2 linked regions of the Chlamydomonas reinhardtii genome follow. The protein of the gene in region 1 interacts with the protein of each later gene in a pairwise test. Links are inferred from orthologs where the notes say so. Each region holds a gene or a part of one and is shown in the gene's direction. Other genes may lie near its edges.

Region 1 (14,374 bases):
CTACCCTACGCTTACACCAGAACCTACACCAGCACCCATTGTCCCACCTTGATGGGCAGGCGCAGGTACTGCTTCCACGCCAGGTGCTCCTCCAGGTGCTCCTCGCACAGGTAGTGGTCCGAGCCCAGAGGCAGCGGCGGCACGCCCGCCGCCCGCCGGACGTCGCGGCACCAGGTCTTCGTGACGTACCAGCGCCGTTGCCGGACTTCGTTCAGGGACTGCTCCACGACCCGCACAGCACCGTCCGGCCCCAGGCTCGCGTCTGCCAGCGTGGGAGCGTCTGGCTTAGCCATCCGGGTACACACCACGCAAGGAAAGCGGTCGGCTGCGAGGGAGGTGGGGGGTAGCAAAAGGAGCGTCGGTGGTGTGCAACCGTTGCGTCGAGGGCCTTACCGGGCCTGCCAGCTCCTAAACACCCCGAGCACTGCCTAAATGCCCCCAGCACAAATCACAGGGTCGCAGAGTTTGCTTTGTGTGCAAGTGCTGTTATGGGGCTCGGAATGGGGTCATGAATGGCTTGCGGGCGGTACATTCGTCCTGGTTCAGCGGCTAGACTGGTGTCCTAAACTGACCGGTGGGCCGGCGCACGCCTTCCTCGAGCGAATGCGGCTGGACCATGTGCACCGTGCAGTGCCGACGCTCAAGAAGCGAGCCATTCTGGTCGAGCTCCTCATTGGCGAGCTCCAAGCACCGATGTGACTCAAAGTCAAACAGCCAGTGCTGCTCGGCTGCGCGTTTTGCGAGCGCTGCGCGCTGCCCGCTCAGGCTCCACGGTCGCGGGAGCGGCATTCCCCGCACAGAGCTCCCTGAGTAAGCTCAGGCTAACTCAACTTCATTGTAGCAACTATCGGGCCGACTCGCCTACGTCTGGGGTCTGTTGCCGCAAGTGCTCTGACAAGTTTCGTTTCTGTCCCCCTCGCTTGGCCGGGCCTACACACCGCATGCAATATTGTATCAAAACATCGTATCAAAACATTTACATATTTTTGACACACTGCGTTTCCTGTGCAGGCGTGCGCCCTGAGCGTACCGCGCGCCCACCAAGATGAATCGCACAGGACACCTGCACCTTGTGCCCGCAGCCCCGCACCCCGACGCAGCTCGGTTCTGACCCGACGAAGAGTCATCCGGTTTTCCCTCCCCCACACCTTCCCTGGTATACTTCCTTCCCCGTCATAATGTCGCGCTGTCTGCGATGCATGAAAGCCCTAAATATGCGCCCGGTGTGCGCATCGCTGCTCATAGCCGCTCCCGACCAGTGCCGCACTGCCGCCTCGCCTGTGCCCCTCCTCTCGTGTCCATTTCCGTCTCCCCCTAGCCTAGGACCCAGCACTCCCGGCCTCCCGCCATCCACCGTGGAGACAAAAAGGATACCGTAACCTTACGCACCTACCGGTAGCAAAGGCAACCCCTGGCACGCACCGTACCCACTCTGCGACTCTTGCCCTGACACGCTATGTCCATAATCATGCCGCTGACCTGTAACTGTAAGCGTCACGCATCCTGCTGTTCCGCAAGTGTTCAGACACTCGAGCCTCTACTCTAGGGTGATGGCACGGTGGGTGACACGCAAGAATCAAGTTAGGGCCTAGGGGTGACTGAGGCTATCAACGAGCCAAGTTCACGCTTCCCCACAACAAGTGTTCCCCGGTCACGGGAAAAGGGGCTGAGCCCCTCCACAGTCTGAGGCCGAACAACCTCATCGCCCGGACATAGCCGGGGTCGGTTTCCACAGGCACATAGCCAAACCAGGTGCCTAGCAATCGCGATGCCACGGCAGAGCCAACCGCAGCCAGACGCAGCACAGTTGTCAACAGCCGCACTACTTGTCATGCCGCTACGCATGCCCTGCCAGCCCCACCGCGGACCGCTACCTAGACACCAGCCGGCTCCTCAGCCTGCGCGCTTGCGCCGCTTCTTGGGCTTGTTTGCGCCAGTATGGTACAAGCGCAAGGCTTGAGGGGGGCGCCAAGGATTCCACACAATAATCCCGCCGAAACTTGCGTGCCTGCCTAAACCGAGGTTGCTCTTGCAACGCTGATAACCAGCCAAATAAAGACAAGCATGAGACTCTAGTGCGCAGCGCCGGCAGCACCGCTGCCGTCCTGCGCCGGCTCTGCAGCCGCCGCACCGTACGCTGTGCCCGCAGCTCCAGCCGCCGTGCTACCTACCGCCTGTGCCGCCACTTCTCCAGCCGCCACTTCTCCAGCCGGCGGCTGCTGGCCGCGCGCCGCCGCTGGCGCGCCCGCCGCAGTTGGCACCGGACGCCCGGGCTCCACCCCCAGTCCTCCCGCCATTACCGCTGCTACCATAGCCTGCGCCTGCGCCTCCGCCGCCAGCAGCAGACGCGCCGCATCCTGCTGCTGCTGCCGCGCCTCGGCGCGCCGCCGCCGCAGCCTCACCACCAGCGCCAGACCGCCCAGCAGCGCCAGCAGCATCACGCTCTCGCCTGCATCCCCTAGCTGCAGCACCCCACCCAATGCACCCAGACCAGCCACGTCCATCCAGCGCCAGAACGCTACCTCAGCTTGGAACAGGGCCAGGTTTGGCAGCAGCCGCTGCGCGCGCGCCACCCAAGGCCCAAAGAGGCTCGTGTGCGGCGGGTGCAGCGCGAAGACGGAGTTCCAAATGGGGTCCAAGAAGGGCGTGGAGGGCAGGAGCGGACGCAGCTTGTCCCACCAGGCGTGCAGCTGCAGCCAGGCATTGGCCAGCGCCACAGGCAGGAACGCGTCCGCCTGCGGACAAGTAGAGACAGCAAACGGCAGTAACGCGTATGCTAGCGTCTGTGCACTTGCGCAAGAGGTTGTGCACATCAGTTCGGCTCTGGTGGGCGACAGACCGCGAGCATGTGGGCCATCTATCCACCAGACTCATGCCTCGATTGACAACCTCAAGCCGGGTGGTAGCGCACCTGCGTGTGCTTGGCCATGTTGTAGAAGCGCTTGGCTAGCTGCAGGTCCTGCGGCACGCCAACGCCAAATTCGTGCATGAAGCCCAGGTTGAACATGGCCTCAGCCGAGCGCTCCTGTGGAGGAAACGGGGAGGAACGGTGGGGTGGGTGTCAATGCGGTACGCATGAGCCAGTGACGTAACATGCGGACGCCGTAAAACGGCGCAGCGCTTCCAGGTCCGCACCTGGTACGCCTCGTAGTACAGCGCCGCCGACCGCACCCAGTCCTGCTCCACCCCGCGGCCGTAGAAGTACGAGTCGCCCATGCACAGCAGGCTGTGCACATTGGACTGCGCCGCCGACTGCTTGTACAGCGAGAAGGCCAGCTCGGAGGCGCCCAGGCCTGCATGGGGTAGGGGGGATTAGGTTGCCAAGTGGCGCCTCAGTGCGGATGGCTAGCACTTTGCAACCACCCGAAGTACCCCTGTAGGACTGGCATGCAAGTGCACCCAGTCGTCCAACGCCCGGAGCACGACGGTGGCAGGCTGGCAGCAGGAGCCCGCCTCACCCGGCGCATATCCTCGCTCCAGCATCCACGCGGCGTTGCTCTGTGCCACTTCCATCCCGAGGTCGGCGGCACGCAGGTAGCTGAGGAGCGCCAGGCCGTAGCGGCCGCGGAAGAAGTGCTCATGACCCTGCTGCACGGAGGAGGCGGCTGGGCCGCGCTCCGACAGCGCCTTCAGCAAGCTCACGGCAGGCTTGCAGTTGCTGCAGGGGGGTGGATGGACAAGCAACCAGCATCTATGTGGACTCATGCAGACCAGCATGGAGCTCCTGATCCCGCAACCGCTCAGGAAGCTCTTCAGTACACCGTCGCGTCATTCCTTCCCGCAAAAGCCGTGCATGGTACACCTCTCCTGGGGCTGCTCCTCACCGTGGTGTGCCCTTGCCCGCCAGGTGCATCATGGCGGCGTTGTACTGCGCCAGGCTGTGGCCGGCGTGCGCCGCCAATGTGAAGTACGACAGAGCGCGCTGCACACTCTTGCGCCGCACCCCGTATCCCTTGAGGTGCATCACACCCATGTAGAACAGAGCGTCGGGCCGGGCCTCTGTCGGGCGCAGGGGGATGCAAGCAGCGAGCGGGCGCGAGGGGTCCACACCGTTGTGCGCCACGCCGGCAAAGCATACTTTAAGCGTATCTCTTCAAACGTCGGCAGCCCAACGCGCCCACCCGTGTTCCTGCCACAGCCCATGACACCAGCCGCCTGCTGCCGCCTCCCGCTCCGCACCTGCGTGCACCTGCTCCGCTGCCTTGCTGAAGTACTGGAAGGCGCGGTCATAGTCCTGGCTCACGCCCCGCGCCGTCAGGTACAGGTAGCCCAGCCCAAACAGCGCGTTGGCGTTGTTGCGCCGCGCCGCGCGCGTCCACCAGTCCACCGCTTGCTCGTAGCTGCGCCGCGTGCCATAGCCGTTGGCAAACATTGCGCCCAGGTGCGCCATGGCGTCCACGTCGCCAGCCGCCGCCGCCAGTTTGAAGTATGCCAGCGCGGCGCCGTGGTCGCGGTCCACGCCGTGCGTGCCGTAGTTGAGCACCTGGAGAGCGGGCGGATGAATTTGACGCCATGGAGAAAAAGGAAGGGGTGGATACCGAACTAAGTATGCGAAATCACGCGCTCCCATCACATTACGACGTACCGTACGCTTCCTCGTACAGAGGTCGCATTGCGCACCCGGCACCTCAATCCGCTCACCTGCCCCACCGCCGTCTGCGCCTCGGTGTTGCCGCGGTCCGCGCTGTACTGGTAGTACTGCACCACCTCTCGATGCCGCTCACTGCGCAGGCCGCCCTGCGCCGCCTGCAGGTGCAGCCGGATGCGCTCCACGTGTGGCAGGCTCCCGGAGGGCGGTGCCAGCTCCGGCGCGATGGAGTCATCTGCGGCGCTGCTGCTGGTGCCGCCGCTGGCGCCGCTGCTGCTATCGTCGGCCGGCTCGTCGTCCTCCAGAGTCGTCGGCGGCGGCATGGTCGCCGCCGCCAGGTCGCTCACCTGCGGACGCACACCAACCAAGATCAGGTTGCAGCTGCTTCTCAATACAGCTCGCATTCCGTCCTAGCGCTCACCCAAGCCAAACCCTGGCCAACCCCACGCGTGTACCCCTTACCTTTTCGCCCACGGGCTGGTAGTATGACGCGGCACTCCAGCAGGAGCGTGGCACGCCCAGCCCTGTCAGGTGGCGGTAGCCCATGGCCATGCGGCTGGTCATGTCGCCGCCCGCGGCCCCGAAATAGTAGTGTAACAGCGCCTCCGCGGGCTTGGGAGGCCCGAAGCGCACGATGCCGTCCGCGGTCCAGCAGTCGGGCGAGTCCAGGCCCATGCTGTAGCACAGCCCCATGTGGCCCTGTGCCTCCGCGTCGCCCGCCTCCGCCGCGTTGCGGAACAGCTCCAGCGCCAGGCGCATGTCCTGGGAAACGCCAGAGCCGTCCTGCAGAATAATGCAAGAGCTTTAGGGTGCAAAGTTGCTTGCAAGCCGCATGGAGCGGGTCGGTGTCAAGCGGGTGCGTGGTGGGCGCCCGGACGGCGGCAACTGGCAGGGCGAACACTGAAACTACGGTAGTCGAAGGGGCGCTGGAGCCCGCACCTACCAGAAACGCCTTGGCAAGCTCCCTAACTGCTCCGCGGTGTGCGGTGTGAGAAATGTTCACAGATCCACCATAGCCCGGCAGCTGCAGCCCATCGGGCGCTGTTGCCGCACCGCGGCGGGCCGCATCGGCTGTCCCGTTGAACGGGAATGCCCGGCCGTGGGAGGTGCTGCTGAAGCCTGCTGCGGTAACCAGGTACTCGGCAGCCTTCTGCTGCTCGCCCCAAGTAAGCTCGCGCTTAGATCTGCAGTAGAGTATGGGCATAGTCGGCCACGTGGCACGCCACACAACAAGACCTGAAGGGTCTGGCTGCAGGTGGGTGACAAAACACGCCCGTGGCAATGTGTGTGGAGATCGTGTCCCTTGTGCAAACCCGTGCCCCTTCGCCACCCACCTGATCGCCATAGCCCTCTCATAAAGCTCCGATGCCGCTGGCTGGGCGTCCGCTGGCTTGCTGGCCTTTGCACTTGCGAGCTTGCAGTTTGTCCCCGCCACGAAGATGAGGAGTGTTGCGACCAGGCGGGTCGCCCCCCTCCACTGTAACTTCATGGAGATATGTTTCTCACAGTTGAGCTATTGTAGTGCGAGCGTTGGCGTGCACGTTCGAGACGGAGCGGGAGCGCCAGTAAACGCTCCGGCCCTGCCTACCTCATAATTAATGCGCTTCGAGTATAACAAGACATTAATTGACGCTAGCTGGGAAATTAGGCTCGGTCCTAAATGTTTTCCACTTACAGTTCGCCCAAGTTTGTTTGGTCCTGAATGTAATCAATGGTACCGGTAAACAAGCAGTGCAGAGAGCTTCTGGTGCCTAGTTGGTCCGAGCGAATTGGCCGAGTCCCATGCAGCGCCTCGGAAATCGCCGGTTGTGCCCCATCTTCATGTACTTTGAACCAAAGCAATAAGCTACTTTGCTTTCAGTCTGCTGCACCCCTGACTTACGAGTTCTCACGACAGCGCTGGGATCCTCGCCCCGACGACGCACCTTTGACCGCAACTTGAGGCCCTGCTGATCGTTTAACACACACGGCCAGCAGGGCCGATAGGAGACGGCCTATAGGGCCTCGTTGTGAGCCGAGCCGGCTCATCTCGCGCGCCCGCCGGGCTTTTATAGTAACAGACAGCTGCCATGAGGATTATGATCAAGGGCGGTGTTTGGAAAAACACCGAGGTGCGCACACGGCGCAGTGCGGTCTTTAGCGAGGACATCTTCCGTGGGTGGAGGCGAGCTCGAACTCTGCTTCTGTGCTGCTGCATGTAGGATGAAATCCTCAAGGCGGCAGTGATGAAGTATGGGCTCAACCAGTGGGCCCGTATTTCGTCGCTGCTGGTGCGGAAGTCTGCCAAGCAGTGCAAAGCACGCTGGTGAGCACAGGCGCGGCGGGCTACGGGGCGGGGTTGCTGAGCGGCAGGCTACGGCGTTGCCAACGGGTTATCCCACCGATGGCTGCTGCTTTGGTAGAACGGGACTAGAAAGTACCCACTCCGGCGGACAGGGCTACACGCAAGCAGGGGTAGATGCGGGCGGGTGCAGGGTGGGGTCCACCCGCCGTGTCGACAGGGCATGCACAGCCTGTCACATCGGCTGCACGGCTGTATGACGGACCTAGCTTCACGCGGCATCGCACGTCTGCGCCGTAGGTACGAGTGGCTGGACCCGGCCATCAAGAAGACGGAGTGGACGCGCGAGGAGGATGAGAAGCTGCTGCATCTGGCAAAGCTGATGCCGTGCCAGTGGCGCACCATCGCGCCCATCGTGGGCCGCACGCCCGCGCAGTGCCTGGACCGATACGAGCGTCTGCTGGACCAGGTGAGGAGCCGAGATGCTGGGGTGGCCATGGCGAGGGTGGGGGTGGGGATTGGGGAGCCGGGATGCGGAAAATGGAACAGGATCCCACCCACCCAATCGCCCACCCATCCAGGCCGTCGCCAAGGACGTCAACTACGATCCGCGTGATGACCCGCGGCGGCTGCGGCCGGGTGAGATTGACCCCAACCCCGAGGCCAAGCCCGCGCGCCCCGACGCGGTGGACATGGACGAGGACGAGAAGGAGATGCTCAGCGAGGCACGCGCGCGTCTGGCCAACACACGGTGCGCGGGCGTAGGTGCCAAGGGTGTGATGCTAGCATGATGGTGGCAGCACCAGCACCTGAGCTGACATTGTATACAACTTGCATTGCCACGTGCGCAGTGGTAAGAAGGCCAAGCGCAAGGCTCGTGAAAAGCAGCTGGAGGAGGCGCGGCGCTTGGCGCAGCTGCAGAAAAAGCGCGAGCTGAAGGCGGCGGGCATTGACGTGCGCGCCCGGAACAAGAACTCGCGCGCCGTGGACTACAGCAGCGAGGTCGCCTTCGAGCTCAAGCCGCAGGTGGGCATGGCTGAGCCGTTCAGGGCGCGGCGGAGCGGCGGTATGCTAGGTTGGCGGTTGCCCTGCCATGTGTGCAGTTGCTGGTACGGTGGCCTAACACGCGTGGCCCCTTTCGCTGTGTGCCCCGCAGGCCGGCTTTTACTCGACTGCGGATGAGGAGAAGACCACTCGCTCCATGCAGCAAGTAAGGAGACCGGCAGCGCGCACATTCCTTGCGGGAGCAAAGCCAATGATACTTTCCGGGCGGTGCACCGAAAGGACGGTCCGTGACACCCTGTTTGCTCTCGGTGTTAACAGGAGTTCCGCCCTGTGACGGTGGAAGAGCTGGAGGGGCGGCGGCGGAAGGACATTGAGGAGGCGCTGATCAAGAAGGACGTCAAGCGACAGAAGATCAACGAGATGCATGACGCGCCGAATGCCGTGGCCAAGCACATGGGGCTGGACCAGGAGGGGCCGCGCCGCCGCGGCAAGCTCATGCTGCCCGCGCCGCAGGTGCGTGCACAGCTGCGGGTGGCGGCTTGAGGCGTAGTGGCTTCGATACTTGCAGTCGCTGGCTGCAATCACCTCAAGCCCCCTAGGATGATAAGGTGCAAAGGCCCCTGGAGTGACCAACTTGGAACTAACTCGCCGCAGGTGAGCGAGGCGGAGCTGGAGCAGATCGCCCGCCTGGGCGTGGACGGAGCTCTGGAGGCCAGTGTGTCGGAGGGCGCAGGCGGCGACGCCACGCGCACGCTGCTGGGTCAGTACAACCAGACGCCGGCGGCGCGGCTGGGCATGGGGCCGGGCGCCACGCCCATGCGCACGCCGCGCGCGGGCCCTGGTGGCAGCGACCGTATCATGGCCGAGGCGGCGGCATTGGCCAGGCTGCAGGTGGGCAGGGCATCGTGCCATGGCACGCCGCTGGGAAGTAGCGCCCGCGGCTCGTGACTTGCATTGAAGTTACCCCGGGGGCAGCAAGGGTTTGTCAGTGCTTTCCCATGTGGTCAAGTGTCGGCTGTCGCTGGCCGCTTACCTTCCAAGATGTGTGTCCGCAGGGCATGGGCACGGTGCTGGAGGGTGGAGAGGCGGGTGTGGACGTGGCGGCTATGGACTTTGCTGGTGTGACGCCGCGCAACGTGGTTGCCGCCACGCCCAACCCACTCGCCGGAATGACGCCCTCTGTGCGCGGCGCTGGCGGCGCCACCGGCGCGCGTGTCGTGCCTTCCATCGCTGGCGTCTCCGCCACGCCCTCCGTCGCTGGCACGCCACTGCGGGCGGGTAGCGGTGGTGTGGGCCCCGGCGCCACGCCGCTCATTCGCGACGCGCTGGGCCTCAATGAGGCGGACGCGCTGACGATGGAGGCAGCGATGAGCAAGCGCGCGGCGGCGGCGCGGGCAGCGGTGATGCGCGGCGAGCTGCGGGAGCGGCTGGCGGGGCTTCCGACGCCGCAGAATGAGTACGCGTTCGAGGTGCCTGAGCTGCCTGAGGCGGAGGAGGAGGCGGAGGACGCCATGGAGGAGGACCTGGCGGACGTGCGGGCGCGCAAAGCACGGGAGGAGGCAGAGCGCCGCCGCATTGAGGAGCTCAAGAAGAGCAAGGTGCGCGCTGGGTTCGAGCTGGTTATGGCGGGGTTGTTTCCACCATTCCCACGAGAGTGAAGTGCTGGGGTGCTTGGAGCAGGCAGGAAGATGAAGACGGGCCCAGTTGTAATTCGCATTACCTAATGGCACTTGGTTGCGGCCCCTGCGCTCACAGGCTCTGCAGCGGCAGCTGCCCCGCCCGCTCAACCTGGACTCGCTGCCGGCCCCCAAGCCGGCGGCGCCCAGCACTGCGGGCGCTAGCGCGGAGCAGCTGCGGGACCGGGCTGAGGAGCTGGTGGCGGCTGAGATGCGCGGACTGCTGCAGCACGACGCTGCCAAGTACCCAGTCAAGGATGGCCGGTGCGTGGCTGGGGCCTTGTGTCTTGGTGTTGATGCCGCCAGCAGGGGGCACTGCTGAATCTGCCATGGTGCTGCCGCCAACTGTTTGGCAACGGTGGCGGCTGCTGTGGTGTCTGTTTGTGCAGGGACGCCCGCAAGAAGGGCAAGCAGCAGCATGCGGCTCCGGGCCCGGTGCCGGTGCTGGAGGAGTTTGAGCTGGAGGCGTTGCAGTCGGCGGCTGAGCTGGTGGACAGGGAGGTGAGTGTGGTGCAGTCGGTTGGAAGCGTTATGTGGATGGGGCTAGCTTGGCAATCTTAAATCCCCTGAAGAGACAAGCGCTACCAGACCCTGATATATGCATTCCTTCATCATCGCGCCTGGACACAGGTGGCTTACCTTCGCAGCGCCTGGGACCATGCCAAGCTGAGCCCGGACGACTACAGCGAGGTGTGGATGAGCGTGCACCGCGACCTCATCTACCTGCCATCGCGCCAGCGCTACGAGCGCGCCGCCAGCGCCACCAACGTGGACCGCATCGACTCGCTAAAGGTGGGGCCAGGGAAGGCGTCAGAAGATGGGCAAAGTAGCGGCGGTTTTCCCACGTTCCTGAACCTCTCAGGCAAGCCAGCTTATCAGTTATCACGCAGCGCGCGCTAACTCCCGTGCGACCCTTCACGTCTTGCAGTCGGAGTTCGACAACGTGCGCGCCGACATGGAGCGCGAGGCCAAGAAGGCGGCTAAGCTGGAGGGCAAGCTGGGCCTGCTGCTTGGTGGCCTGCAGCGGCGCCATGGCGATCTGACAGGCCGCGTGGGCGAGCTGTGGGCGCAGGTGCGCGACGCAGCTCAGGAGTTGGTGTGCTTCAAGGCGCTGCACGAGCGCGAGTTGCGCGCCGCGCCCGAGCGTCTGGAGGCGCTGGGCGAGCTGGTGGACGCTACCAAGCGGCGCGAGGTGGACCTGCAGGAGCGCTTCAAGGCGCTCACCAGGCGCCGGGACGAGCTGGCGGCGGCACTAGCGCAGAAGCGGGCGGCGGCGTCGTGAGGCACGGGCGCGTGATAGCGGGCGGTGGGGTGTCGGGCGGTATGGCGAGAGTGGGCATTTTGGTTTGGTGGGCGTGCGCCATAGAGCAGCCGGTTGCGGGTGCGTGTTAAGGAATGCAGCTTGGAAGGCTGTTGTGGCAATGTGGCCTGGTGTATGCTCGCCTGAGTGCTGACGGCAATGCGTTCGGCGGGGTACGGGCAGTTGGACTACTAGGACATGCAAGGTGCGCCCTGTGCATGCTGGAGTGTCCTGTAAATGGCCGAGCGAGAAGCAAGAGGGCACATGCGTCAACATGTTGTTCAGCAGTACAGCCTACTGATGCGTCACGTAAACAACTGAAACCCGCGAACAGTCGGAGTGGTCTCATTCCAATCGTGCTACGGAAGTGTTAAGTCCGAGGAGGCTCGCGTCCTGCCACCTGCACTTACAACGCTCATCCGTCACCTGACCCGGGCCACACAACATACCAACCATTTGCACCGCCCCCATGCACGCGGACAAAAGAGCCGCACAACCTCTTTCATGCGCGTGCCCCGCCAACCGCACGCCCCCACAACGGGCAGCCGCAGCCTGGGGTCGCCTGAGTCCACGTGCAAGTGCACACAGCACACGGGACAGCCCCGCCGCAAGCCCGCACCCACTCCCGCCACGTGCCCCCAGCACCATGTGCATCCCCAAGTCGCCCATCTTCGTGCCAGCCGCTCGACACTCAACTTTATCCTACCTTGTCGGCGGTGTTCACGGCGCACATCGCTGCAATATTGCCTATTACCACTTCCACCCTGCCTGACCCTGTTGATCCCAAGTTCCTGGTCCGAGTGCACCTTTGTGAAAGCTGATCGGCCCATAGGCCGACAGTCCTTGATGGGGCATGTGGTTAGTTTGGCCGCATGTTGCAGCGGCCAGCGGCTACTGTACCTCCATTCTTACACCCCTGCTTGCTGTACATCACCTCGCCCCAAAACCTTAAGCGTTACCAATTACGTTCCATGCTTCTTTACTAGAGCTACTGTGATGCATGTATCACCGCCCACTGCCGTTGGGCGGAGGTAGAAGCGGTGCAGAAGGCGCGGATGGCGCAGAGGATGCGCCGCCATCCGAGGTGGCGTTCAACCCGAATGCGGCCGCCGTCTCCGGGTCCATCACACACACATTGATGGACGGGCGGTGGCCGCCCGTCGCAGCGGTACCGTCGCCCAGCACTATCGTCATCGGTGGTTCCGAAGGCGGCGGCGGCCCATGGAAGAGGCCGTTCTCGACCGTTACCTCCTTGCCCTTGGTCTGGGGCGTCGTCATCATGGGCGCAGGCGCCATGTATGGTGCGCCCTTGCCACGCTCCACATCCGCACCGTAGGCAACAGCGGCAGGAGCGGCAGTGGCGGTGGCTCCGCCGCCGCTGCTGGCACCGGCGCGGCGGCCCTTAACGGGGCGGGGGAAGTCCTTCATGCGGTAGCATGTGCAGCCACACACGCCGCCGCCACCGGGCATGTCGTCCAGGTTCTTCAGGATGAGCAGAGCCACCAGTGCCGCGGCCCACGCAAGCACGCCGCTGCCGGTTGCGGTAACCCACTGAATCATGACATCACTCGCCAGGCCACAGCAGGCCCAGCTGGTGACGCCGTAATAGACATTGAGCACGGCGGCGCGCTCACCCAGAGTCAGCAGGTCGGACAGGTGGGCTGACATGTCCGCAGCCGCCATTGACAAGTCAGCCAGCAGGCCGCCGAGCCCGTACTGCACGCTGCCCAGGCTGCCCGGCCACTGCGTGGTCGCGGACGATGACGTGTTGGTGGCGTTGGCCGCAGCCGAGGGGTCGGCCGGCAGCAGCAGCGGGTCCAGCACCTGCGTCTGCAGCAGCGCCGCGGCGGCAGACAGGCGAGAGGTGTCGCCCAGGCCGGAGGCGCGCAGCACCGCCGGCAGCGAGCCACCTACGCCCTGCAAGTAGTAGCGCACCAGCGGGAACAGCGCCGAGTTGGGCGACACCTCCGACAGCACAATGGCGTCAGCGCTGCCGCACGTGTCGTGTGCCACCACGAGGCTCGCCGCGCCGCCCCACGCCGCCGCCAGCACGACGCCGGAGACAAAGAGGTGGATCATGAAGAGGACTACCAGGCCGCCGGGCCAGTTCAGGAAGACTGCAAGGCCCAGCAGCAGGCAGGTTGCGATGACGGCGGCGTAAATGGCGATGGGGCCCCAGTAGGCGCCGTTTGTGTACTGTTTGGAGTCGGCGCCAGTCAGCTTGTCGGTGATGTTCTGCAGGCGGTTCACCAGCTGCTGCCTGACCTGAGCCGTGGCGTTGAGGGCCGAGGTTGTGGCGGTGCCGGTGCTGCTGCTTGCCAGCATGGCACGGCGATGGTAGCCAGTGGAGCTGGCGTTGGAGGAAGACGGCGAGGGAAACGCACCAGGCGTGGAAGGAGGTGGAGGGGACAGCAGCGCCTTGCCCAGTGCGTTGTCCAGCTGCTCACCGATGGCGGACAGGCCGTTGGAGATAACGGAGCCAATCAGCGCGAGCGAGCGTCCCAGCGGCTGCAGGAAGACCGAGGGCAGGTAGCCGGAGGTGGCGTTGGCGCTGGCGCTGGAGGAGGTGGTGGAAGTCCAGTTGACGGCGGCGAGGCGGGCGGAGTTGGCAGTGAAAATGCTCTGCAGCCTTGCCAGCGCTGCGGTCGTGACATTCAGGTGCACGATGCCGGAGGTGGCGGGAGCGGTGGAGGTGGAGGCGGTGAGCCATGCAATAGCAGAGGTTGCGTTGGCGTCCAACGTCGCCAGAGTGGCCTGGAGCGAGGAGCTGGCGATGATGTTTGTCGCGTTGGCTGCTGAAGTGACAATGCTGCTGTAACCAGATGGCGCCGGGGCGCCGGCAGCAGAGCGGGCACTCGCGACTGCGCCGGTGCGGGTGGAGTTGGCAGTGGTGCGCAGGCTGTCATAATTGGCATCAGTGCGCGCGCCAACATACGTGGACAGCGCAGTGGAGACATTTCCCGCCGGCGTCTGCAGCGCCACCAGCGCGGCGCGTAGGGAGGTGAGGTAGGACAGCGTGGGCATCTCGTCCGGCAACCTGCTGGTGCCGTTGGCGCCGCCATTAGTCACATTGGACAGCACCGCCTGCACGTTGCCGCATGCCGCAGCGATCGCGATATCGTCCATACCCACGAAAGGCGACAGAGCGGACAGCGCGGCCTGCGGCCAGGCCAACGAGGGCGCGACCACGGCCGCCGGCGAGCCGGCAGTGGCGTTGCCGCCCGCCACGACAGCACTGGCGTTGCTGTTGCCGTACACGGACTCCAGCGCCGCCTGGATCGCCGGCACGGCATCCATGGCGGCGCGCTCCAGGGTGCCCGAGTTGAAACTGAAGATGGCGTCATCAAATGCCGCCAGCTGGGTGCGCAGGCGGGCCAGGCAGGCGCGGCCCGCCGTCACGACACCGGCAGCCTGCTGCGGCGCGGTGCCCAGATACGCCACATCCAGGCGGCCCAGACCCGCCATCACTGGCGTCAGTGGGGATGCGCTGGTGGCGTTGGCGGCGGCGCGCAGTGCACTCAGCG
Region 2 (14,174 bases), on another chromosome or scaffold:
ACGCCGCACCATCAAATGTGCGCCCGTGGCCCCCCTCCTGCCTCAAGCCTAATCCCAGCCCCACACCTGTGAGCCGCTGTAGCCACACAGCTCAGCCCTCATCCGCTCACCGCGCGCCGCCACACGCCGCATCGCCGCCACCGTCCACCGCAGTCACCACCACCTCCCCCCCTGCCCCACTCCTCCATCCTTGCCCTGCTGCCCCCCCCCCTCACGAGTACATGTAGTCCTGGCCGCCCGGCACCGCGCTCCAGCTCTTGAACACGTGCACGTCCGTGCACAGCTTGCGCATGGCCTCCGTCACGTGGCTGGACACCAGCAGCCCGTGCACCTCCAGCCCCATCTCCTCGTGCGCGCGGGAGATGGCCTGTGGTGCAGCAGCAGCAGCAGCAGCAGCAGCAGCAGCAGCAGCAGCAGCAGCAGCAGCAGCAGGGGGGGGGCGGGTTGTCCTAGAGGGCAGGGACGAGGTCTGGGCCAGGAGGGGCGGCACCAGGTGGCGTGCACGGGTCAGAGCGGGCGCCAGGAGGAGCGGACACCGCATGGGGGCGTGGACGCGCTGCCCCGCCCTGACTGCCTGGCCAGCACAGCTCCATCCCCCTCCACCCGCGCCCCCACCTGTATGATCTTGTCGTCGGGGTTGGGTATCTCGCCGTCCGTGACCATGAGGATGTCCGCCTGCGCCCACTCCGCCTTCGCCAGCCGCTCCAGCGACAGCTTGAGCGGCGCGTCCACGTCCGTGCCGCCCATGAAGCTGCAGGACAGGAAGGCCAGCAGCTGGTCCAGGCTGTCCACGTCCACAGACAGCTGCAACTCCTGGACCTCGTCTGAGGGGGGCGGGGCGCGGGGGAGGGGAGGGCGGGTGGAGCCGGTGGAAGTAGTTAGCGGGTGGTAGGTGTGCGCCTGCAAGCTGGAGCCCTACAGGCAACACACACAAGTCGTACTAGCGTGTCGGTTGCCCACAGTCGAACCACCAGTATCACGCCCTGCCCAGGACCAGCCGCCCCGCCCCGCCCCACTGCCATGCTGTCCTTCCCTGCCCTTTGCTCGCTGCCCTGTGCGCCTCCGCGCCCGCAGCGGCCCGCGCCACTCACTGGGTCCGGAGAAGGCGTACAGGTAGCACTGCCGCCGCTGCCGGTGCGCGCCGCGCAGGCACTCCAGCGCCAGCGCCTTGGCCACCGTCTCGCGCGCTCCCCGCATGGAGCCCGAGGTGTCCAGGCACAGGATGATGGGGCCCATCTCGGCGGCGGGCCGGATCTCCATGCGGCTGGTCACACGGGCCGGCTCGTCCTCCAGCCAGCCTGGGGGAACGGGGAGGCGTGGGGTGGCGCGGGTTGCAGGTAGTGAGGCGGTCTGGGACATGATTACATGCCCGAGCCCAGGGGCGGGGACTGCAGGTACGGACAGTATGCCGACGGCGGTGATAAACAGGCGCAGGGGACGCGGGGGCGGGGGGGGGGAATAAGAGACACTACAGGCGCCCACGCCCACGCCCACACCACGCCCACGGCCCCACCTGTGCGGTCGTAGCTGAGCAGCATGCGCTCGGCGCGCCGCACCCGGTGCAGGCGGCGTGCGGCGTGCGCGCCAGGCAGGTAGTACTCCTGGGGGGGAGGGGAGAGGGGTTATGAGATTCTCGTGTGTATGGGTGGGGGGTCAGGGTCCGTGACAGGGGAAGGCGGGGCTCTGTTTTGGGCCGGGTGACCATTGCATGACCATTCGGATCTATTCTTCGGCCATATATCCCCCGCCGCCCCCCCCCCCGCTCACCTCCAGGTCGAACTCGCCGCTGCTGACGGAGGCGGAGGCGGGGATGTGCGGCTCAGACCCGGCCGCGTGTGGCGTGCCGGACCCGGACCCGGACCCGGACCCGGACCCGGAGGCGCCCGCCTGCTGCTGCTGCCGCCCCGCGCCTGCCGGTGCGGGCTGTGTCTGCGGCCTGCCCCTGCGCGGCCAGCCGTGCGCCAGCAGCGCCATCTCACTGGGCAGCATGCGGCTCAGGTCGCCGGAGCGGGTCAGGCCGCGGACCTGCAGCGCAGGCAGGGTGGGAAGGATGAGGGGGGGGGGACGTGTGGCTGTTGTATTTGGGTGGGGCACGAAGGCAGGGGCAGGGGCTGGCAGCTCCCACCCACGTGTCACCGGAGGAATGCAACAGCCCCAGAGCCCCACCGGCGCCACCAGCCCCACCGGCCCTCCGGCACACCCAACGAACCCCAACCCTCCTCCCCCTGGCCTACGCCCCCCCTCCCCCCTCACCACCCCCTCACCTCCTCGGGCTGCAGCGGCGACCTGATGACACCGGGCGGGTAGCCGCGCGCCTCCAGCTCCTCGGGCGCCCGCCGCAGCGGCCCCTTGCCGCCGCCGCGACCTAGCTGCCGGACCAAATCGCGAAGCTCAGGAACCTGAAGGGGGAGGGGGGGGGGCGTGTGTGTGTGTTGGGGGGGGGGGGCAGTCAGGAGGGGGGCGTGTGGGGGCGTGTGCGTACATGGGCATTGTGGACTGTGCTGCGCATGTGTGTGTCAAGGATGCATATCATACGCGCTTGTGCACATGTTGGCTTTGCAGCCCTATGTCATTGTGCGGGGAATTTCGAGCCTTCACGGGTCACCACCCCAGTTTGGGCTGGTATTTACAACCCACACCGCACCCACCCCCCGCCCCCGCCCACCTTCTCCAGCACCTCCCTCAGCGCGTCCAGCTCGCGCCAGCCGCTGCGGCGCCAGGTGCCGCGCGACAGGTCGAAGCCCTCCGCGCTGTCCAGCAGAGCTGCAGGCGCAGATGCGGGTGTGTGGGGGGCAGGAGGGGAGCACCAAGGGAGAGGGTTGACACCGTGAGTAGTCCGTGTGCTGGGGGGGAGATTGCCGTGTGGTGGCATATGCTGCATGGGTGCACAAATACACGCCCTTCCTCCCTCTCCCTCTCCCTTCCTCTCACAGTTGAGGTCGTCAAAGGCCATCTCGCCCGTCTCCAGGTTGTCCATCACCTCGCCCATCTTCGCCTCGAACTGCTTCACAATGTCCTCGGCAATCTCCTCCAGCTGGGCCGACAGCGCCTGCTGAGACTCCGAGTTCTGCTGCCTGCAAGGGGGCGGGGCGGGCGGTAGGGGCGACGAGTAGGGCAGCCATTGGACGTCAAGCAAGGTCAGTGAGGATGCGGCGAGCTGGTAGGCGGTCCAGAAGTCCGTACGTCCTCCTTCACGCCCCAACACACCAGTGCGCAATGCCTAACCCAAGCTCCCACCTGCACCCTACACACCCTTTGCCCCGCACACACACTCACTGCTTGGCCTCGCCCTCCATGTCCTGTGGGCGTTTGTGCATGCGCGGTGGTGGGGGCGATGGAGTGGACACACTGCCAGTGAGGCGGTTGAGAGCAGGTGGCCTTGCGCCGTGTGGAAACCAGTGCGTCAGGCACGCCCACATACCCCCTCCCCCTGCCCCCTCCCCCCACAGCTCACCTGCAGGCTGATCTGCAGCTGCTTGCCCTGCTGCTGCTGTTGCTGCTGCTTGCTCTCGTTCTTGGTCTGCTCCATTGCCTGTGAGATGAAGTGGGGTCAGATAAGGACACGCGCGTTCGCACACCCGCACACATGCTCGCGCACACACAGTCACCTCTTGCATGCACACAACGGCAAACGCCCACACACACCCTGCCCATACACACACACCCACGCCCACACCTCCTGCATCATCTGCTGCAGCTCCTCCTCGTTGATCTCCTGGCGTGTGAGGGGAGGGAGGCAGCAGGCAGCAGGCGGGAGGGGGCAGGCGTGTGGGGGAGGCGGCAGGCAGGCGGGTGGGGGTGAAGGCACCCGGAAGCGAGGTAAGGCCCAGCTGCTCCATCGCGTATTGCGGCCAGGGGTTGTCACCCTGCGACTGCCACCCGCTCCCTGCCCTGCAGCCCTTCATGCGCAGCACGCAGCACGCGGCGCACGTTTGCACACACACACACACACACACCATTCCTTTTTGAGCACACGCACGCACGCACGCACGCACACACACACACACACACACACACACACACACACACACACACGCACACATACACACATGCACGCACGCACCATCTCCTCCGGCGGCGGCGCGTCGCCCTGCTGCGGCTGCTCCGAGCCCCCGCCGCCCGCCGCACTGGCCTCCTGGCTCTGCTGCTGCTGGTCCTGCTGCTCCTGGTTCTGACTGCCCTGACTGCGCTGCTGCTGCTTCTGTTGCTGCCTGCAGATGCCACAGCGGCCACAGCATCAGGGACACATGAGCCACCACCATTGGGCGCCGCGGCACACATCGCAAGGGTGCCGAGGGGCGCTCAGGACTAAGCGACAGGCACACACGTTCAAGGACGATGCCTTGTGTCTATAACGGCGCCTAGAACGGTGGACGCAGGACGCAAGCGGCCCGGCATAGCACAGAGCTGGCCCGGAGCACACCCCCTAGGCTGTCCGAACCACACCTGCCCCCCCCCCCTTCTGCCATCCCTAGCACACTCACTGCTGCTTCTGCTGCTGCTGCTGCTCCGCCGCCGCCAGCTTCTCCTCAAACTCGCGCGCCAACCCCAGCATCTGCTTTATGAGGGTGTCCAGGATGGCGGGGTAGCGCCGCGTGAAGCGCGGCATCTCCATGTTGCGTAGCGCGTCCTGTGGGCGGGCGGGTGGGTGGGTGGGGAGAGCGTGTGCAAGCGCATGGGGCGTTGGGCTTGGAGTTGGGCTTGGGGGTTTGGTCGGTCGCGGGAACAGATGCGTGGGGTAAACGTGTTCCTTGGGAATAGGTTTCCCCTGCCTCTTCTCGCCCCCCCCCTGACCCTCGCCGTGGCCCCTCACCGCGAACTTGCTCCTAAAGGGCTCCTGCGGCCATTCCAGCTCCTCCATCTTGGGCAGCGTGCTGTGGGGGTGGGCACGTGTGCATGAGGGGGGGGTTAGGCGGGGGGTGAGAACCCTGCAGCAGCAGCAGGCCTCCAGGGCCGCGCCTCAAAGGCGGGTGCGGGTGTGTGAGCGGACCAGTCAGGACAACCCGGTGCTGCGGCGCCAGCCCGTCTCGCACACGCCCACGAGTGTCCGCGCAAGCGCAACTCCCCTCCGTATCCTGCACGGACTGTCCCTCCCGTCCTCCAAGTACCACCGAACGCCCTCCCCCACTCCCATTGTGTTTTGTTTAGTTTGGGCTAATACTTACAATCCCCCATCCCCTCCCCCCGCCTCCTGCTCACCCCCTCTGCAGCGCCATCTTCCATGCCGCCAGTGCGTCCGCGCGCGCCCTCAGGTCGGTCATGCCGCGTGTGCCGGGCAGCTCCAGCAGCGACCCCAGCATCTCCTCGCTCAGGCTGGCGCGGTTGGACCAGTTGGGGCCCAGCAGCCTGCGGAGGGGGGGAAGGAGGAGGAGGAGGAGGCGGGGGAGGAGGAGGAGGAGGAGGAGGAGGGATGGGGCTCGCTTGAGTCAGTGGGGGACGAGGCAAGGGGAGTGGAGGAAGAAGGGAGGCGGGGGGCAGCGCTGCCATACCAGTGGGAGGTAGCGGTTAAACCCTAAGGCTTCACGGGTACAGGGAAAGCTTATGCAGGTTGCGGTAGTCGGGAGACTTGAGAATACAGGCGCACGCTGTCAGCCTTGTCGGCCCGCACTGTCTACACAGGAGGCTGCGGCGGGCCTTTCCTGCTACCTGCCATCGCCACCGCTTGCTGCCTCCGCCACCGCATCCGCCACCGCCTCTGCCCCCTCTCCCCCCGCACTGCTAGCCACCGCCGCTCCCCCGCACTCACTCGAAGCCGAAGGTAGGGCGCTCCGGGTGCTTGGGATCCACGGAGCGCACCCGCACCGAGGAGGAGGACGAGGAGGGCCGACCCAGGGGGCCACCGGGCAGCGGCTGGTGCGACGCCGGCGCCAGGCCGGGCCCGAAGCCAGCAACACGCCTGGCGCGACACGACCCGCTGCTACCGCTCCACTGGTGACACGACGCCACCGGCCGCTGTGAGCGCCCAGCGCATGATCGTGCGCCTGGCTGAGCAACCTTGCCACCTAGCAATGCCATTTCCCGAACCGGCCCTAGTAAGCCCGACGCGCGCAGGTCCGGGCAAAATAGGTTTTTCTGTTTAGCAGTGCTGGTGAATGACGTTAGGTAGCCATGCCTTCCAAGAAAGAAGCACTCACAATATCAATTAGGATTTGCTTCGTGTGTTGTGGAAGTTTTGGCCAGAGGGGTTGTCATGAGCACCCGAGCCCAATGCATCAGGTTTGCAAAACGGGACTTGCTGAATCCGCTATCTGACTTATTGCATCAATCGATAGAATGACCTACTAGGACCAACGCCTCGGCTGTGCTTTGAACCTACCGATCGCTTCTCGGACCCAAGCTGCTTGGCGAGGAACGCTCTGTTAAACATGGCTGCCAAGACGTCACAAGCAACTCTAGCACTAGAATATACTGCCCATGGCGCCGCCAAGGGCTGGCGAGCGAATGAGCACCTTGTCGACGCGCTGCCCTATGTGGACTCGGTGCCGCCGGAGCTAAAACCTCATGTGGAGGCCCTCATAGAGGAGGAAAAGCGGAGAAGCACAAAGCTCCCCAGCGACTACCTGCGCGAGATGCCCTCGGTCCGCGCGCCAAAGTTCGATGACCACCCGGTCCTGAAGACCGAGTACGAGCGGTGAGCAGCTCGGCAGCGAGGAGGCTCTGCAGGCTGATGATGACGGGCCCGGGGGCGGGGACGGGTCAAGCCAGGCTACGGAAGGAAAGGGACGGGCTGGGGGATGTGGAGGGCCACCGCCACGGTCCAGCTCCTCCCCTCCCACTCACCACCCACACACACAAACCCCCTTTCCCTGCCTCCGTGTTTCACAGTGTGCGCAACAAGGAGCCAATGGCGCCGCTGGATTCTGTTCGCTACCGGCTGGAGCCGCCGCCGCAGGCCCGCCGCGGCGACGTGGGCGCGTGGAAGTCCTCGCTGGACAACGCGGCGGCGCAGCTGGAGCACCAGCACCTGCGCATCCTCAACCAGGAGCTGCTGCTCAAGTATGGAGACAAGGCCTGGAGGGCGCAGGTGGGGCTGGGGAAAGGGGGCGGAGTGGCTGCGGAGGAAGGGAAGGGGGAAGGAGGGAGGGGTGCGGTTAACGGATTAAGGGGGGACGTGGACAGGGGCAAGGGCAGGGGAAGGGAGGGGGAGGGCTGAGGAGAGAGGGGTAGGCGCGGGGCGGGGTGGAGAGAGCTAGCTGGTGCCACCATCCCTGGATACGCCGGCACTGTCGGCATTCACCCCTGCCTGACCCACCCCACCTCCCGGCGGCTTGGCGCCCTGCTGCCCCGCAGGTGGCTCTGGACGAGGCCGCGGTGCGGGGCCTGGAGGCGCAGCTGGCGGCGCTGCGCAAGGAGACGGACGGACTCAACCGCGAGCGCAAGCTGCAGCAGCACGCCGCGGGTGAGCCGAGATGGCAGAGGGAGGGAGGGAGGATGAGGGAGGGCGGGAGGGAGGGAGGATGCCGGAGGGAGGGGCGAGGGCGCAGGAGGGGCAAGAGATGCAGGAGCTGAGCGTAGGGTCGAGCAAGGGGATTGCATGGTCAGCAGGGAAAGCGAGGAGAGGCTGGTCACCAAGCTTAGGAACGGGGGGAGCGTGCTCACGGTACTGGGCGTGCAGCAGAGTAGAGGGCAGCAGGGCCGCACCGCGGGCGCATCATGGCAGGGGAGGACGCGGGTAGGGGCCGTGGGCGCGGGTGGATAGGCCGGACCGGAAGGTTTGCGGTCGTGGCGAATGCCGGCCGGCGGCCCCCTCCACTCGCTCGTCCGCTCACCCTCAAACCCCCTTTGCCCCCCAATGCTCTTCAGGTTCGGAGCTGTCCAAGCTGGAGCGCCAGTACCTGAGCCAGGTGCGGGGACGGCGCTGGAGGGAGGGGGCGCGGGGGCGGGGGGAGCTGGGGGGGCGGTGCGGTGCGGCGGTGCATTGAGGTGGTGCTGGGACGTGTCGGCCGCGGGCCGAACCCTGCCGGGCAGGGACTGGCCAGCACCGCCCATGCTCACACGTGTAGGCTTGGACGCCCCCATTGATTGCCCAGCCATATGCCTAAAGCCCCCGTGCCCTGCCGGCCTGCCATCAATCCCCCCAGGTGCGCAAGAACGCGGACATTGAGCGCGCCTGCGACCGGCTGGAGGACGCGGTGGCGGCCATGGAGGCGGAGCTGGACACACACATCCGGGCTGACACAGGGGCGGAGGCGGAGGCGGAGGCGGGGGCGGCGGAGGGGCAACAGGTGCGGCGGCAGGGGATGCGGCAGGGGGTGCGGGACTTTGACACATGACGAGGGGCGATGGGGCCTGGGGGCTGGGGGCCGGCAGAAGGGTGCGGGGCAGGCCATGTAGGTGGCGCCAGGGCGGCTGTGGGACAGGGGCTGTAGCACAGGGACTAGCTGTGGGACAGGGGCTGTGGGACAGGGGCTAGCTGTGGGACAGGAGCTGTGGGACAGGGGCTGTGGGACAGGGGCTGTGGGACAGGGGCTAGCTGTGGGACAGGGGCTGTGGGACAGGGGCTGGGGGACAGGGGCTGGGTAATGTAGTGCCCGCAGTCGGAGGTAGGTCCGCACGCACTGGGTACTGGGTGCTGGGTCCACAAAGCGCTGTGTGCACATCCTTCCCAACCCTACCGGCCCGGTGCTACCTGGGTGTTGTGTGTGCCTGTGCACCCAGTGCGCCACATGCTCATACGTACATACGCGCCAAGCTGCTGACCCCCCCCCCCCCCCCGGCTTGGTCCCCCACAACGGCTGCGCCTGCAGGGCCCCGGTGCGGCCGGGGAGGCGGAAGCGGCGGGCGCCGACAAACCCGCGGCGGCGGCTGACGGCAGCGGCGACACGGACATGGCGGACGGCGCGGCGGCGGCCGAGGGCGCGGCAGCAAACGGGACACACGCGGCCGGGGCAGAGTCGTGAGTGAGAGCACACACGTGCAGTGCCGCGCTGTAGGGGCGGCCGGGTGTGGTTGTGGGCGCGGCGGCATGGAAGCGTTGAGGCTTGGCGGTTGACTTGAGGCGGAGGGGGCCGCTGGGTATGCACTGGCGACGCGTGGGGCGGCATTGTCGTTCGATGCTCGGTGGTGGTCATCACGCACGACGCCGCTTTCGACATGTTCAGACAGAGGCGGCGGCGGTTGGGGTGGTTGGCACGCACCGAGGCGCATGGGTGGGTCCGCGGGTCCATCCAGGCCACAGCTGCAGGCGGTGGGGCGAGCTACACGGCTTGGGGCGTCGTCCTCAGGATAGGGGGGCCCTGTGTGTGTACCGGTGCCGGCAAACAGGCAGGCACCACACACGAATTGGCCTGCCTTGAGTGTTGCGGTGTACATGCCGGGGCGCTCGGGACTGTGCCCGGTTGCCGAGTGTGACAGGAAGCGTGTAACGTGGGACTCTGGAGGGTTGCATACCTGGTGCACCGCTGACAAGGATCTGGATTGCTCACCCTGGCCAGAGCCGGTCACACGGGGCACATGGCGCACATACACGTGCATCGGACTGCCGCCGGGCTGGGGGGTCTGGGGGGAGGGCCTCAGCATTAGGCGCAGTCGGACCTGGTCGAGCCTGCCGTAGTGGCGTAGTCGTATGTCCGGAAACCCGGCCGGCGCAATGGTCGCTGCGGTGTTGCTCAGCCCCAAAAGCCGGGGAGCCCCTGCCGGCCTCGGACAGCCCCGCGTGACAGTCTCAGTATATCGCACGCCAGGGCCTCCGCGCGTGTGTCGGCGTGCCCCGACCCAACGTGAGGGTGGCAGCACTCACTACGCTCTAACGCGCCGCCGGCACCAGGGCGAGTAGGGGGCTTCGTCGTGCCAGTCACACTGCACGGTAGCGTAGAGTTGTGGAGGGATGCTTGACTTGCCGTAGTTACCGTATTGTTACAGGGTCGCCTGCCGTGCCGCAGCAGCTGCAGTGCTGCGCACGTCACGGGGTGATCCCAGCGTCAGGCACAGCGCTGCCGCGGTCGCCGCGCCTGTCGGTCGCGGGGCCCTGGGGCGCCCACGTGCAGTCACACACGTCCAGTCACACACACACACACACACACACACACACACACACACACACACACACACACAAACACAGATACGCGGTACAGCGAGCGCGTGCTGCACGTCGCAGCCGCTGGCTTCCGCTGACCTGCTGCCTGCACGCCCCGCCTGCCTCCTCCTCAACGTCCACATGTCGTCGGCGACACCACTTAACCGTCATTCATGTCGCACACACAGATACAAGCACACGCCCCCGTAGGGCTGCGCTCCTGGGCGCCAAGGGTGGCTTCGCACAGCCGCGTGTAAACGCGTCCGCGCTACCTTGTAGCTCGTCTGCCACTCCACACCGCTCAGCCCCTCACACGCATACACATCCACCAGCCCCTGCACAGGCTGCCCTGCTGCTCATCCTGTGCCGGCGTGCACCAATAAAAACCTAACCTGAGGCTGGCAGCACCCATTACGCGCCTACAGTACACGGCGTCTGCTCGTCTGCTACTTCTGCCCGCATCGCGAGGTAGTTATACTTGTGCGTGTCACGTTCCTGTCTGAGGGTATTAAGTTGGTGATCTGTAGCATTCTAGTAATCACACGAGCACACGAGCACATAAGCACACAGCAGGCGCCCTGGGCTGCGCCGCCGACCCAGATCAGACCGCCTCAAAGCATTCTTCACACGCGCGGACATGCACACACGTGCAAAGTGTTCCCGCATACTCCACTCAACATGTCATGGTGCGCGCGCTGTGCAATTATTGTGCCGCCGTAACGCCGCCACAATCTTCATGTGGCTGCTTCACAGCCCCCTCACACAGCTCCATTCCATCACGTCAATACTCCTGAGCGTGTCAACTTGTCATGAACTCGATCGGCGTTCAGACTTCCTCTCAGGGCCTTTGCCCTGCCCTGATTCGCTTCGTCAGTAATAGAGTCTGATCTGTATGACCCAGCAGCATCATTAGGACTTCATCTGTTGTCGTGTGCGGGCCTTGCCCGCCTAAGGGCGGCTATACTGCACCGCACTAAACTCGACTTGGCCAATTGCCGCATCATGTGATCTCTCATGCAACTGGGCCACTTTGTGTCCTACCTGCCACCCGTCGAGGGCCCCACTGCTCAACTGTTGTCTGCTCCGGCCCCCACTCGATGTGTGCCACCTGCCTCTCCTACTGCCTACCTCCGTCTGCCCCTGTCTTGTCTCCAGCTGCTGCCAGCAGATACAGCCCACTGCACAGCTCAGCTTGCCGCAGGAGCGGCCGCAGCGCCCCACCCGGAAAGCTCATCTGTGCGAGGTTTGCCTCCGTGCTTAAAGCAATTCATCCAAGCCCACGCCCCGCAATGTTCAGTCGTCATTTAAGTAGTATGGCACACGCACACGCACATAGACAGAAATAAACACAGTTACCCCAAGTACACGCACGTCTACACTGCTGTTGTCACGGTTTGTAGTCAACCTAAGATCAATGTTAAGCGGCATCCAGGCGCGCAAACGCCTGTCCGCTCGCTTTCAGGACCCGCATCCGGAATTGAAACGCCGGCCAGCCCAATCCTCCTTCGCCAAGCCTAAGTTTAAGCCTAAGACTATTCTGAAGCATGGCAACATACGGAAGAGTGAAAAACGTGCACCGCACAGGGGAACAAAAAGCGCACTGGAAGCGCAAACGCGCAGGCACGCAACGCGCACAAAGGTGGCGCGTGCGGTAACGCCCGCCCTCTGTTAACACCAGGCCCAGCAACCCAGGAAGGTGTGCCGGTGCCCCGGTGCCCCGGGGTGCAGCGGCCACAGCGCCAACACGGCGCGTGGCGCACCGGCCCCGGTGACCGATGACTCCGTACATGAGTAATAATGACTCTGCTCCGCAGATACACGCATGTCCTTTTAGCGAGAAACACCTGAAAGCTATCGTAAGGCCGTTGAAGGGTTGCCCACAGCCGCCTCTACCATGGCAGCAGTGGTCCTCCTCCTCCTCCTCCTCCTCCTCCTCCTCCTCCTCCTCCTCCTCCTCCTCCTCCTCCTCCACATGCCGGCGAGCCCCCGCGGCGGCGTAGGAGCAGCCCCTGTCCTCCCAAGAGTGCTCCCGCACATCCCTACGCCGGTTACACCTGCCCCTGCCTGACCTGCAGCTGCTACAGCCCCTGTTGCTTCTGCTTGTGCTTATTCTCCAGCTGTAATCGCTGCCCCTGCTGCTGCTGCTGCTGCTGCTGCTGCTGCCACCGCCACGCCAACTGCTACTGCTGGGCCGGCCGGTCCAGGTCCGACAGCGGCTCCTCCACCACCTCCATCATCAGGTCGGACCGGCTCGGCGCCACACCCGCAGCCAGCTTGCCAGCAAAGCCCGGCGAGCGCCGCAGCAGCGCCCGCAGCGGCGGCAGCACCGCGCACCGCACCACATCGCCGCGGCCAGACAGCGTCAGACCAGTGGCGGAGGCGGCGCCACCGGCCGCCGCCGCGGCAGCGGCAGCGGCAGCCGCAGCCGCGCCCGGCCGGCGGTGCGAGAAGATCACGTGGAAGCGCGGCTCACCGCCATTACCTGCTGCTGATGCTGCGCCCGGGGCCGGCGGCTCCAGCAGGTGGGGGTGGCGCAGGCGCTGCAGGTAGCTGACCTCGTGTGGGGCGGCGGGGCCGGCGTGTGTGAGCGCCACGCCGTACGCCGCCAGCACCACGCAGTGCGGCAGCGACAGCAGCTGCGCCAGGGCCAGGTTGTCCAGGCCGCCGGCAGCGGCGGCGGCAGCAGAGGAGGCGGAGGAGCCGGAGCAGGCAGAGGAGAAACAGGAGGAAGAGGCGGGCGGCGCGGGGTAGGAGCAGGTGGAGGTGGAGGGCTGCGCGCCGCCGCGGCGGTAGGAGCCGTTGCCGGCCTGGCCCTCGTCCTCATCACCGCTGTCCGAGTCCGAGTCCGAGTCTGAGTCGGAATCGGAATCCGAGTCAGACAACGAGCAGCGGGACGCGGCCAGGGGCCGGCGGGGCCCGCACGGCACCGCCACGCTGCTGGCCGCAGTGCCGGCGCCGCCCATCGCCATCGTCGCATCGGCGCCAACGCCCGCCCCCCGGGCCTGAGATGCGACGGCAGACATGGGCGTCGGCTCAGCAATGGCACCGGCGGCATCCGCATCCGCCGCTGATGCTGGCGCCGCCGGCACCGGCGACGGCGGCGCGCGCAGCGACAGCGACAGAGCCGAGGTGGTGCGCAGGCCCGCCGCCGCGGCCGCCGCCTGCTGCACCGCCACCACCCGCCGCTCCTCCTCCGCGCGCTGCCGGTTGGCACGCGCCGCCGCCAGCAGCGCCAGACACTCATTTGCACCCAGAGGCCCGCGGGCAAAGTGGCGCCGCATCAGCTTCAGCACAGAAGCCGAGTTGCGGCAGCCGCCGCCGCCGCCGGGAGCGGCGGCGCCGCCCCCGGCGGCTGGCGGCTCCTGCGGCGCCGCCACCAGGTTGCCAACGTGCAGGAGGTTGTCTGTGCGGAAGTCGAACTTGTGTCGCGACAGGAGCTCAAGCAGGGTGTAGTAGGCTCCGGACAGGTTGGACACCACGAACACGCGGCCCGGCTTCAGCTGCTCAGCCGGCAGCACCAGCGGCGCCGGCAGCGGCAGCGGGGGCATAGGCAGCGGCGGCTGGGGGGCAGGAGAGGCAGTGCATTCGGCTGCGCCAGCGCCTGTGCAGGAGGAGGCGGGGAACGGGAAGAAGGGGAGGTGAAGCCGTGCAGGGAGGGGGTTAGGGAGAGGTTTGCCAACGAGTGCGCCTGACGCGTTACTGCGCGCGTCGACCAACCGATACACGGGGCTATTTATAATCATCATGTCACTAGCAAGGATCGGAGGCACGATCGCACCCGGGCTAAACTCGCTTACCCGCAGATGCCTGCTGAGCGGCGGACTCCGCCAGGGCGTGGGCCGCAATCCGCAGAGACGACACCGCGTTCTGCCAGTCCTCCACGAACGGGTGGAGGTGGTCAAGACCTGTGGGGGCGGCATATGGAGGCGCCGACGCTTTCAGAAATGACTTGTTAACGAGGCGCGGGCGCCGCCCTTGTGCCCGTCGACCGCCCGCATGATATCAAGGGACAAGCCACGCAAATAAACTAGCGCAGAACACGTACCCGGCAGCGCCGGCGACGATGTCGCAGCGCACATCGTCGCGGCCGACTGAAGCTTCGGGGACGGCTGGCTTTGGGCCTTTTTTCCGTCAATGCCCTTTCGGGGACTTAAAGTTT

What was found.
Region 2: the proteins of CHLRE_03g197350v5 (region 1) and CHLRE_17g697350v5 interact in binary tests that used the Arabidopsis thaliana proteins (3 or more experiments, as listed by UniProt). The link is inferred for Chlamydomonas reinhardtii from reciprocal best matches to the Arabidopsis thaliana genes CDC5 and MOS4.

What each region holds. Positions count from the first base shown.
Region 1 is NC_057006.1:6,669,089-6,683,462, reverse strand, and holds CHLRE_03g197350v5 (uncharacterized protein), read left to right. Parts: upstream 1-6,437; 5' UTR 6,438-6,657; coding exon 6,658-6,699; intron 6,700-6,789; coding exon 6,790-6,893; intron 6,894-7,169; coding exon 7,170-7,338; intron 7,339-7,450; coding exon 7,451-7,620; intron 7,621-7,720; coding exon 7,721-7,895; intron 7,896-8,025; coding exon 8,026-8,079; intron 8,080-8,192; coding exon 8,193-8,387; intron 8,388-8,528; coding exon 8,529-8,765; intron 8,766-8,929; coding exon 8,930-9,472; intron 9,473-9,629; coding exon 9,630-9,814; intron 9,815-9,939; coding exon 9,940-10,051; intron 10,052-10,180; coding exon 10,181-10,342; intron 10,343-10,478; coding exon 10,479-10,832; 3' UTR 10,833-11,099; downstream 11,100-14,374. Other genes in the region: CHLRE_03g197450v5 (uncharacterized protein), read right to left, coding at 48-293; CHLRE_03g197400v5 (uncharacterized protein), read right to left, coding at 2,073-2,735, 2,912-3,025, 3,136-3,293, 3,459-3,658, 3,825-3,999, 4,180-4,483, 4,642-4,935, 5,051-5,371 and 2 more; CHLRE_03g197300v5 (uncharacterized protein), read right to left, coding at 11,856-14,374. UniProt on the Arabidopsis thaliana protein: Component of the MAC complex that probably regulates defense responses through transcriptional control and thereby is essential for plant innate immunity. Possesses a sequence specific DNA sequence 'CTCAGCG' binding activity.
Region 2 is NC_057020.1:167,181-181,354, forward strand, and holds CHLRE_17g697350v5 (uncharacterized protein), read left to right. Parts: upstream 1-6,275; 5' UTR 6,276-6,365; coding exon 6,366-6,631; intron 6,632-6,825; coding exon 6,826-7,024; intron 7,025-7,290; coding exon 7,291-7,399; intron 7,400-7,803; coding exon 7,804-7,844; intron 7,845-8,081; coding exon 8,082-8,225; intron 8,226-8,747; coding exon 8,748-8,900; 3' UTR 8,901-9,377; downstream 9,378-14,174. Other genes in the region: CHLRE_17g697334v5 (uncharacterized protein), read right to left, coding at 212-367, 616-824, 1,092-1,298, 1,514-1,601, 1,768-2,025, 2,265-2,399, 2,666-2,763, 2,932-3,074 and 8 more; CHLRE_17g697406v5 (uncharacterized protein), read right to left, coding at 12,196-13,616, 13,813-13,920, 14,061-14,094. UniProt on the Arabidopsis thaliana protein: Component of the MAC complex that probably regulates defense responses through transcriptional control and thereby is essential for plant innate immunity. Involved in mRNA splicing.